3 linked regions of the Macaca mulatta genome follow. The protein of the gene in region 3 binds, or shares a complex with, the protein of the main gene of each other region. Links are inferred from orthologs where the notes say so. Each region holds a gene or a part of one and is shown on either strand. Other genes may lie near its edges. The genes, in order: PDCD10, STRN3 and STRIP2.

The links.
Region 1: STRIP2 (region 3) and PDCD10 share a complex: the UniProt entries of both Homo sapiens proteins name them as parts of the core of STRIPAK complex. The link is inferred for Macaca mulatta from reciprocal best matches to the Homo sapiens genes STRIP2 and PDCD10.
Region 2: STRIP2 (region 3) and STRN3 share a complex: the UniProt entries of both Homo sapiens proteins name them as parts of the core of STRIPAK complex. The link is inferred for Macaca mulatta from reciprocal best matches to the Homo sapiens genes STRIP2 and STRN3.

The regions. Positions count from the first base shown.
Region 1 is NC_133407.1:79,296,259-79,299,913, reverse strand, and holds part of PDCD10 (programmed cell death protein 10), read left to right. Parts: intron 1-2,832; coding exon 2,833-2,911; intron 2,912-3,210; coding exon 3,211-3,293; intron 3,294-3,655. UniProt on the Homo sapiens protein: Promotes cell proliferation. Modulates apoptotic pathways. Increases mitogen-activated protein kinase activity and STK26 activity. Important for cell migration, and for normal structure and assembly of the Golgi complex.
Region 2 is NC_133412.1:104,025,219-104,028,873, forward strand, and holds part of STRN3 (striatin-3), read right to left. Parts: intron 1,025-3,655; coding exon 891-1,024; intron 1-890. UniProt on the Homo sapiens protein: Calmodulin-binding scaffolding protein which is the center of the striatin-interacting phosphatase and kinase (STRIPAK) complexes.
Region 3 is NC_133408.1:169,095,297-169,098,951, forward strand, and holds part of STRIP2 (striatin-interacting protein 2), read left to right. Parts: intron 1-1,002; coding exon 1,003-1,137; intron 1,138-2,619; coding exon 2,620-2,740; intron 2,741-3,542; coding exon 3,543-3,611; intron 3,612-3,655. UniProt on the Homo sapiens protein: Plays a role in the regulation of cell morphology and cytoskeletal organization. Required in the control of cell shape. Calmodulin-binding scaffolding protein which is the center of the striatin-interacting phosphatase and kinase (STRIPAK) complexes.

The sequences.
Region 1 (3,655 bases), on a different chromosome or scaffold from region 3:
AGACTCGTAATTTAACAGACCAAAATAAAAAAGCCAGGCATTTATTTACTGTTTGTAATCTACATTTGCATATTCTTAGGTGAAAATTCAGTAAGGTTTATTTGTTTTAAGTTAGGATTTTCATGAAGGGTCCAGAATAGATTTTTTCAGAGTTTTCCAGTCTAAACCAAACTCAACTCAAAGCACAGGGATTCCCTTTCATTAGCGGATTTGCATAAACACGTATCATGCACATTTGGGTGGCATGATTAGAAACTACTTTTCCATGCAGTTTTTTGATAAGATGTCTGTTTACGTTTCATCTGAAGGCTTTGTCTTTCAGTGTATGTTTTGCACAGCTGCCCTAACTATTAGGTTGGTGCTAAGTTCCTCCTGCTCATACTATCTGCCTCTTATCACAGAATTCATCTGCACCAAGCCGCATTCATTAGTTATGTGATATTTATTTTACCCTCAAGTTTTTTCTCAGTTCTTTATCTGGTTAATTGTCTGTAGTGGTTTTTTTGTGACAGTATTTTCTCTTATAGGAAACAAACTCTCTGGTAATTACTAAGATAATTTAGCTTCCTTATGTGCACACCTTGGTGCCATAAATGAAAATACTTTTCTGTGTACATATGGATAACATAATATTTGACATACATTCTGCAGATTGTTTCTAGAGAACATTTTTTCTACAATTTGGTAGGCATTTAACAGTCTTTTGCCTCATGTCCAAACAGAAGGCCAGGCTTAGGAATAAACAGCCTTGGCTGACAGAGAGCTGTGTTCCAATAAGGCGTTAAACCTTAGCTGCAAGTTTTCAAACCTGCCTCATCAGCAGTCACCTGAGGAGTTGCGCCTCCTCACACCCCCTTTTAAAGTAGAGATTTCCAGTATTTATCAGCATGTCTGTCTTTTTTTGTCCAGCAAAACCCTCCCTTCTCCTCTCGTCTTTCTGTCTCCCTAGGTGCATGAGGCAGCATTTTTCAGACCCACTCTTTTGACTTGTAGAATCCAGGCATTGTTGTTGCATATCAAACTTATGTTCATCTTGATGACTAGCCCTGGAAACACGTTTTATTCCTCTTCAGTGGAATATTGAAATACACTACAAAGTGAGACTGTATAAACTTCTGTCTGATCACTATGTAATTTGCTCCATTATATTCCATTTTAAGTAACTCCATTGTGGATTTGGAGAAGCTTGCATATTTGGAGATTTGACATTTTTTGTTTATTGAAATTGTAATTTTTCTCACAGAATAGTCCTATGACAGCATTTTATTAAACAATGGTGGGTTTATGTCCATCACACCAGTATACAAAGATTCAACTTGCTTAAGCCATAAATGAAAGGAATAGTTATCTAATTAAAAACTGCTATTACTAAACCAGAGGCAAAAAAAAAAAAAAATTAGATAGCATTTATGTAAGACTTATTGTCCTACTTGAATATGTAATATTTCAGTGTTTCAGCCTAATACCAGTGTTTGACCTGAGAGAGGTAATAAGTAAAGTATTATTGAAATAATTAATGAAAATGTAATTACTACTTCGGAGTACTCTAAAATACTTTTTTTAAAATATCAAAATTCTGTATGCTTTTAATTCTTAAAATTTCTACATGCTTATTTACTGAAAAACATGCTGGGAAACACCCACATGCACACAGAAACCTGGACACTGAGGATTTTTTCCCCTTGAAATAGGAATGTTGAAATGTTTTAGATAGGAAATAACTGAAATCTGGCATTTATAATTAGTATTAGTAATAAAATGTTATGTTTAGGATGGTGCAGATTTCTATCTTATTCATTTCTTCACAGTTGCATTGCATTTGAAGTTTTTGTTGTGACTAACAGCTAAGAGAATGGTTTTGAAAAAGGTTTGTCGTAGAGAATGAGACTGTTTGAGAATGCAGAATTACATAAAGTTCAATTTGATAGAAAAAAATTGCCATGAGGTTAAAATGTGGAAATCAAAAGGGGCTAGACAGAAAGGCAAAAATAAAACAAATTCAGAAAAAAATGGTGCGTGGATAGGAAGAACACTCAAATGAGAATTATTGATTTCTTCCTTTTGTTTCTTTTGAAAGGGGAGGGAGGTGATGATGCATATATAGTCAAAGGATGATTGCCAGAAAGGTTAAAGTGGAAGAATATTGTGGTGATGTCTCCCCCAGTAATTTAAATATTATATTTTCCAAAGGGAATAGTGGCTGACAGCAAGTGTTTGAAAGAGGAGGATATTTGGTTGCTAGATAGAAGCTAAAAGTGTCTATAAAAGAGTAAAGGAGGAGGAGTATTTCCTCAGGGGAGAGGAGTATTTTCTGAGGAGGAAATATTTTATGTTAAACATCAAAACTAATAGGTATCTAGCATACAGCGTCGTTAAATACAGAATTGAGTTATATGTCATGCAGAATATCATAAAATTGTTCATTGTTCAAATAACAAAAGTGGAGAACGTGGTAGCTTGAATTTAGCTACATTAGAGCAGAGGAAAAATTTAAAATGGGGAAAGACAGACATAGGTAATGTTTATCCTTTTCTAAATTTGAGTAAGGAATGCTTAATGAAATGTGATTGATTTGAGAAAGTTGGTTTTGGTTGGCAACCTTTGGTCAGCAGTGCAAGAGAATCAGGATTACAGAGGGGTACAGGCTAAAACCCCAACTCCAACCAGCTAGCCAAAAAGGCTGGCTATTCATGAAGTGAGTGCACTTACCATAATTAAGAGTGTACTGTGATTAGATTAAGAGTGTACTTAATTTCTTTCAAATGTAACTGATGTTTTCTCTCACAAATTTCTTTCAAATGCAGCTGATACTCTTTATTCTTTTCCCAACAGGGATATAGCTAGTGCAATAAAAGAACTTCTTGATACAGTGAATAACGTCTTCAAGAAATATCAATACCAGAACCGCAGGGTACGTTTAGTAGAAGCCTTGCTAGCTGACACCCTAGATGCTGGTTTATGCCTAGTTGTTTTATTGACTTGAAAATAGGATTGATTGTTGGAAATAGTTTTGTGTCATTAACCATTGAGTTATTCTTGGATTTAAATATGCCTTTTTATTTAAAAGTAAATATTCCACAATTGCTTATTAGTAATATTCATATAAAGTGCATCCCATATCCTGTGTAATCTCCTGTCCTTGCCTTTGGCTGTTGTGATTATTTCTCTTATTCAGTACTTTTTTTTTCTTACTGTATTTTGTGGCTGTAGGCACTTGAACACCAAAAGAAAGAATTTGTAAAGTACTCCAAAAGTTTCAGTGATACTCTGAAAACGTATTTTAAAGATGGCAAGTAAGTACTGTAATTTATCCTTTACTTTTAAAATTAAATAGATTATGTGGTTTTATATGGTATGAAAACCATATAAATTAAGCCCTTTTACTTTATTAGTACTCCAGGCAACTGATATTCAAGGCATTCCACTAACAATAGGAAATGAATGTGGTTGCTAATCTGGCTATAACTCCTTTCTACAGCAGGAGTTACCAGATGCTTTCTGAAAAGAGCCAGATAGTAAATATGTTAGATTTGGTGGGCCTGTTGGCCGTTATCCACCTCATCTCTGCCGTTGTACTACAGAAACAAGCCATAGACAATATACAGACAAGAGGGTGTGACTGTTTTTTACTAAAACTTTATACAAGATTCAAATT
Region 2 (3,655 bases), on a different chromosome or scaffold from region 3:
TCTGAAAGTCTGAACTAAAGACCCTTTAAGAATATTTTCATCCCATTTTCATAATTCTTGGTATTGACAGAGGTTTATCTTTTTACCTTCACATTTCTCCATCTGTAAAGACAGGCTGTGAAACCACTTCTAAAGCAGTCAAAAGTTTACTGGAATTTAGTTGCTTATGTATTTAAAAAAAATATTAATGAGAATAATCCAGCCCACCAAAGGCTGTCTCTAAAAAGCATGCTAACGTTAACTATAAAATGTAGAAAAAGAAATTCACTATAAAAAGAAAAAAAATTGCTGAAAAACTGCAATTAACATAAAGATCTAACAGGTATAGTTAACTCTCAATTGAAATATTAATATCTAGAAAAATTAAATCCAAGACAAGTTTCACCTCTAACACTGGACTCCCTATCCCTTCCATCCACTCCCCATCCCTCTAATGGAGTTAAGTATTCAGGAAATGATGCAAGCTAACTTTAAAATGTTTAGAAACTTTAAAATATTTCCTTAAGAAAATAAAAGTTCAAAAATAAAACATGCTTTTTAAGAAGTATTCTGAAGGCAAATAAGTGATTCAGGTTATTTTTTTTCTTGTTAACACCAAAATATGGCTTAATTTGAGATAATTGAGAGTTGACTACTCAAGATGTATTTATTGACCAATATATTAATCATCTCAAACTTCTAGTTAATCCACCAAAATACCTAAAACAAAATTTAAATACCACAAAGAAAGTAGTTATAAAAGAAAAACTACATGTCACTTCAAATCAACACATTGACACAAACTTATCTCTTCCATGCACCTTGACATTAATTCTGTTTTATAAGTGATTCCAAAAAATAAGGAGCCTTCTATTAAATCATTAAAAAATTAAAAATAAAACTGCACTTACATCATAACTATAGTCTGCATCATTTGTTACCGTCAAGTCTGCAAGGTCTCCAAGGCCCAGTACACTTAACAAAACATCATCAGAACCCATAATAAATGACTTGCCTCCTCCAGATGGAAACGTTATTGGTTCAGCTATAAAGAACAAAACCGCTTCTTAAATGCTGAAAAATCATACAGTACAAGACAATATTGTGGGGAAAATTTAAGCACTTAACAGTTACAATATTCAGTAATATAATTAATTTTTATTTTCCCACTTCTACTCAAAAAATCCTGTTACTAAGCAGTGTTAAACAAATGTGTTGGAACTGTGGTGTAGTAACTGTCCACAAATAAAATGTGCACTAGATATATTATTCTGGGGTGGAAGTTGGGGCACAAAAGCTTTGTCTAAATCTCTTATCACTTCAGTACAATTATAACTATAGTTTACATGTTAAATAAGAAATAGGACAAATTTTGATTAAACAATGGAGTTAAGTATCAGATTTTTGCTATTCATGGGGGGAAATCTCTACCATGGACCTCAAGGACCTCAAAGTAGTCATACAGTATTTTTTAAATGTTAATAGGTTGTTGCTAAGTCCTTTTGCTTTCTAAAGAAGTACTAGGCATTCTAGTCCCTGATAAAAACTAGTACAAACACTGAAATGTAAATGGTTTACAGTCAGCTATATACTGTATCAGTTCACTAGAATGAAGCTTTAATTGTTCAGATTCCTTCAGTAACAGCAATGGTCTAGGAAAAAGTTCTTCCACCAACAACGTCAGTTTCCTTTCTATAAAGAGGTTAATCCATGTGGACTTCAGAACATCTTCCAGCTTTATTTAATTAATTAATTAATTTATTTATTTACAGAGTCTTGCTCTGTCACCCAGGCTGGAGTACAGTGGTGCGATCTTGGCTCACTGCAACCTCCACCTGCTGAGTTCAAGCAATTCTCCTGTCTTAGCCTCCAAGTAGCTGGGATTACAGGTGCCAGCCATCACGCCCAGCTAATTTTTTTGTTTTTAGGAGAGATAGGCTTTCACCTTGTTGGCCAGAATGGTCTTGAACTCTTGACTTCAAGTGATCCACCCACCTCGGTCTCCCAAAGTGCTGGGATTACAGGCGTGAGCCACCGCGTCCAGCCTGTCTTCCGGCTTTAAAGCTTTGACTATGATTTTTATTTTAATGTCCCATTCTAGTTACCATGACATTCTAAAATGAAGCAACTAATCTTGACCACAGAGTTTTAATTTCTGATCAGATGTGCCATTTCAATTTCAAACTAAACTCAGGTTGAGCTTCACTTAGATTTCTTGACTATATCATGTGCATTATTACAGCTTTTCATGTTAATATTAGCAGTTCGAATTATTTAAAATGTGTTTTCCTTTCTATACATACTATTAACCAATTAAACTCTGCCATAATTGAATAACTATTATCTAAATATTTTGTTGTAACAGTCATAGTTTAAGCAACAACCTTCAATATAATTTCAAATGCTTTGAAAGCAAAAACTTAACATTAAGGTAACAAGGGAGAAATACTCAAATCATTATAATATAAAACTCAATATATTAAAACACACTTAAAATTCATGAGCAAATTTAAAAGGGAAACATTATACAAAAAAAATTAAGCTGTTTGTCAATTTTTTAAAAATTCCCATGAAAAATGATATAAATATGCTACAGGAAACACAAGAGCTGTAATGAAACTTGACAGTCATCACTAATACTACTGGAAATAATTCTGAGAAGATATAATTCATATATGTATAGTATGGCAAAATAAAATTCATCTTTATTTAAAACATCTTGTTATTTTATTATTTTATCTATCAAAGTAAGCTATATAATCTGACTCAAATAGGGTTCTAAAATGCAGCTCTGATTCAGTTACTTGATCTAAAATGAATCTGAAAGCACCTGAAAGAAAATATATACATAGAGATCCTAACTAGTATTTAGTTAATCTTTCAATTATGACACTTATGAATCTGAATAATCTGTAGCATTGATCTTTTCCTACAAATTATTAGCATGCAGTTATTGGCAATACCAGAAGCAGCTATCAACTATAAAATCAATAATTTAAACTTATGTTTAAGGATAAGTACATAAAAGTCATTAGATAACATTTACTCAAAGCATTTTTCTCTAGACAAAGAAATATTTTTACTTTAAGCTCATAATTTGTTTCTAAAATGCCACAGTTCTTCCCACTCACAATTATACAAACATTCACTGACACAAAGCCCAATAAAATAACTTTAACGTAACAAATCATTTTGCAGGACTATCTCTGATCAGCCACTGACCAATTTAGGAGCATGTGAAGGTTAGTGTCTGGATGTTAGTTTTACTCGCGTTTTGGATTAATTGTACTTAACAAAAAATTAGTATTATACTCATTTCTAATTAATCATATGACCACATTTCTATCCTTTTCTCTATATACACACATATATTTCATGACATATTTATGTAGATATTGCAAACTATTCTGCTTACTCAGTATTTATTTACATATATATGTGTAAAACTTCTTTTACACTATTATCTCTGCTTTCCATATTACCCATCACTGTGGCATATGGTAATCCCAGCAGCTACTCATTTGTTTACCCTTATTTCCCTGCAGATGGAATTAATTTCTATCCTAAAAATTCATTTTATTAATGGTAATATAATTACCCATAGTATAAAAATGTCATTAGTAATTCAAAGAAAAATATAATTATTTTAACCAGCCTAAAAAATTAGTTTTGGTAT
Region 3 (3,655 bases):
AACACTCAGTATTAACCATCACAACCTCCATAACCATGTAGACTTTCCTTCTTGCTTATGGGATACAGGGTTCTCTGTGTCTCAAGTGGAGAGCAATGGAGTAGAAGCATGAGAAGCTGGTCCTGTGCTGCCTGATACAACCCTTGACCTTAATGTTTCACCCCATCTTCAACTTTGTCCTACTCTCAATAGTAATTTCATGTGCCCACACTGTGACATTCTCAGACATTCTCATCCATTTCCTTACTTGGTCAGTGGCAATTTGATTTTCAGTTCAACAAATGTGTGGTGAGTATTCTGTGTCAGATACTGGAGGCAGGAGTGAGAAGCAGCTTTTACAAAGAAGTTAGAGTTTGAGAGCAGAGGAATCATGTGCACATCACAAAACTAGCTGAGGCTCAAACAATCCTCCTGCCTCAGCCTCCCAAGTAACTAGGATTACAGGCATGTGCCACTATACCCAGCTTCTGCCCAAGGGCCTTCTCACGCAGCCTATACAGGGCAGCCAGAAAGTGCAGGGAATCAGTGTGCTCCTCTAGTTTAGCACCCTTCATCCAAGAGGAAAATGCTGTATCAGAAAAGTTTAAAAAGTGTTGGGGAAGCAGAGTATTTGGCCAGAGCATTAGTGAGAAAGGTCATTTTATATTGGGCATGTAAGAGTGGGAAAGAGGTCATTTTGTATTGGGCCTGTAAGGATGACTAGGAATTGAATATGTAGGGAGACAAAGGGAATTCCTTGAGGAAAGGCAGAGAGACAGGACAGTATGGGCTGTGTATGGAGAATAAAGGGGATGTTGAAGATGAGGCTATAGACTGGGTTCAGGCCAGAACATTTTGGGTCCTTTTCCCATCCCTTATTCTTTCTCAGTGAAATAAGGAAAGCTTTTGGAGAAAATAATCTTTTTGGGGGGAGCTGAGATCAGAGGTGGCTATGCTATGAGAAGCCTTTCCAGGAAAGGTGGCAATAGCTGACACTAGATGTATATGGCCTTTTATTCCCAGTGCAGGGCAAGGAATGGCTGGAGTTGGAAGAAGATGCCCAAAAGGCCTATATAATGGGACTCTTGGACCGGCTGGAGGTGGTCAGTAGGGAACGGCGGCTGAAGGTGGCCCGGGCTGTTCTCTACCTGGCCCAAGGTGAGTGACTACCCTTGCTAGCTTTAGAGGGGTGGAGGCTTGAGAGGGAAGTGGGCATTATCAGGACTGAGATGATGCAGGCTGTGCTAGGAAAGCAAGGTTTCTTGCCTCTCAAGGACAGATCTTGTCACGTGCTAGGAGTAACCTGTGCTTATGGGGAAGATGAGATAGTGTTGAGTGCTGTTCTAGATCCCTTGGGATCTGCCATTATCTTACCAGGCATGTCAGAATTTTTTATAGGGTTCTTCTTTTCCCTACCCTGTACTGTAATCATATGTGAATACTAGCAAGAGGGTCAGTGTGGCCAGAGCTGATGATGTACCACCAGCTGATCATGGAGACAAGACATCAACTGTGGCCTGGCCCCAAAACTGAGGAGAAATAGGAGAGTGTCACAGATACACATGGACCCCTTGCATTGTTTCTCACTGGCATTTTGAAAGTTCAAGCCAACATAGCTGCAGGAGTGGATGCTGTGAGTAATTTGGAGATGATCAGACCTAAATAGAGTAACTGGGGAAAGCTGGTCAGAAGAAACCTGTTAGCCAGGTGTTGGAAAGGGAAATGAGATAGCCTAGCTGGAGTGAAAATAAGCCTACGATCATAAATATGAGGCTTGTTAACAGAACCAACCAGTTGGGAGCTAAAAAAAAAATTCTAAAAAGAAATAATAAATAAAGAAGGGAAAGGGTAGACATTAGGTGAAGAGAAGACTAGCAAATAGGACTGTGCCCTCCTGTATCTCTAGGATCTGGTGCTCTGGCCAACTTCCAACTCCCAGTACCTTCATGTGTTTGCCCAAGGACTTTATTTATTTAATTTTTTTAAAAACAAAGTCTCACTATGTTTCCCTGGCTGGTCTTGAACTCATAGGCTTGAACTATCCTCCTGCTCCAGCCTCCCAAGTAGCTAGGATTACAGGCGTGTGCCACCATGCCCAGCTTCTGCCCAAGGGCCTTCTCTGCAGCCCATACAGGGCATCCAGGAAGTGTAGGGAATCAGTGTGCTCCTTTAGTTTAGCACCCTCATCCAGTGACTGACAGTAGTTAGTAGAGGGATAGCCTGACTGTCTCACCCCTCTTGGATAGAATAACTGTGAGTTGTGTGTTTTATACTGTTTCCAAAGTTATCCCCTGAGTGAACTCTTGGCTTCGTTTTCTTCCCTATCTCTACTGATGATTCCTGGGAATGATTCCCAAATAAGCTAATTGTACTGGAATCCTTACTTACCTCAGGATCTGCTTCTGGAAGAACCCACCCTTAAGATGACAGGCCATTGATGAGCACATTGGACCTAACCCTAGAGACTACCTCTCTTCTCCCCTGACTCATTCCAGGAAGTTCTTGGGGTCCCTGTCATACCTATGTCAGCCTAATTATTGGGCAGAGTATTATAGGAAAATCTTAAGATCATGGGGCAGGGTAGAAAGAACTGGGATACTGCCATCTCTCAACCCCTGTAACAACTGTCTGCTCCTTTAGGTACTTTTGGGGAATGTGATTCAGAGGTCGATGTGCTACACTGGTCCAGGTACAACTGCTTCCTGCTGTATCAGATGGGGACCTTCTCCACCTTCCTGGAGCTACTCCACATGGAAATTGAGTGAGAAGCCTTAGGGGAAGGGCTGGCCTACACAACCCCCATTCCTTAAAGGGGCCTCATATTCTATGCTGCTTCCCTTACTATAGAGAGCCCCTGTGAGGAACTGGGTCTACTCACACCTCAGCCCAAAGCTCATTGACAGTTTCCCTCCATCCAGCCATGTTCTCTGATATTCTGTTCTCCCTCCCTGAGGTTGGATACATCTGCAGCTTCTGCCTCACTTACAGCTTTAATCCTGGGCTTCAGGGGCCTATCCTGAGTGGGTTCTCTTTTTTATTCAAGGACTCTCTTAGCTCAGCCTAACTCTGTAATTCAAGAGGGAAACTGTTCTGAGTGCATGACCCAAGAAAGACAGGAAATCAATTCCTGTCACTGTCCCCAATTCTTTCCCTCATGGGCTATAGTTCTAGAGGTTGCCTTATTTGCTGCTACCACTACAGTGACCCCTTGTTTTGTCTCATGCCCATCACCCAGGAGTTTGAGATAGGGTGCAATCTGCTTATTATTCATCAGGTGTTTCTTAGCATCTGTTTTATGTCCAGCACAATACTAAGCATAGTGGGGAATGCAAGATGAGTGGATACCACAGATCCTGCCCTTGCCTTGTCTTCACCATATTACGATAAGAGAGTTTGCTGAGGTGGCAAGGGAATTCTGTCGGCTCCTTTACCCTAGACCAGTTTCATTAGTGGCTGCCTAGCCAGGGAATGGCAAGCACTCATGTTTGTGTGAGTGATAAGTAAGAGCACAGAGAGAAAAGAGGTCTTATGCATTCCTGTTCTTTTTCTCCTCCCCCTGGCAGCAACAGCCAGGCCTGTAGCAGTGCCCTTCGGAAACCAGCTGTCTCCATAGCTGATAGCACAGAGCTCAGGTGAGTGGGGCTAACTATGGGCTTGGAACAGGGCGGATGATTAG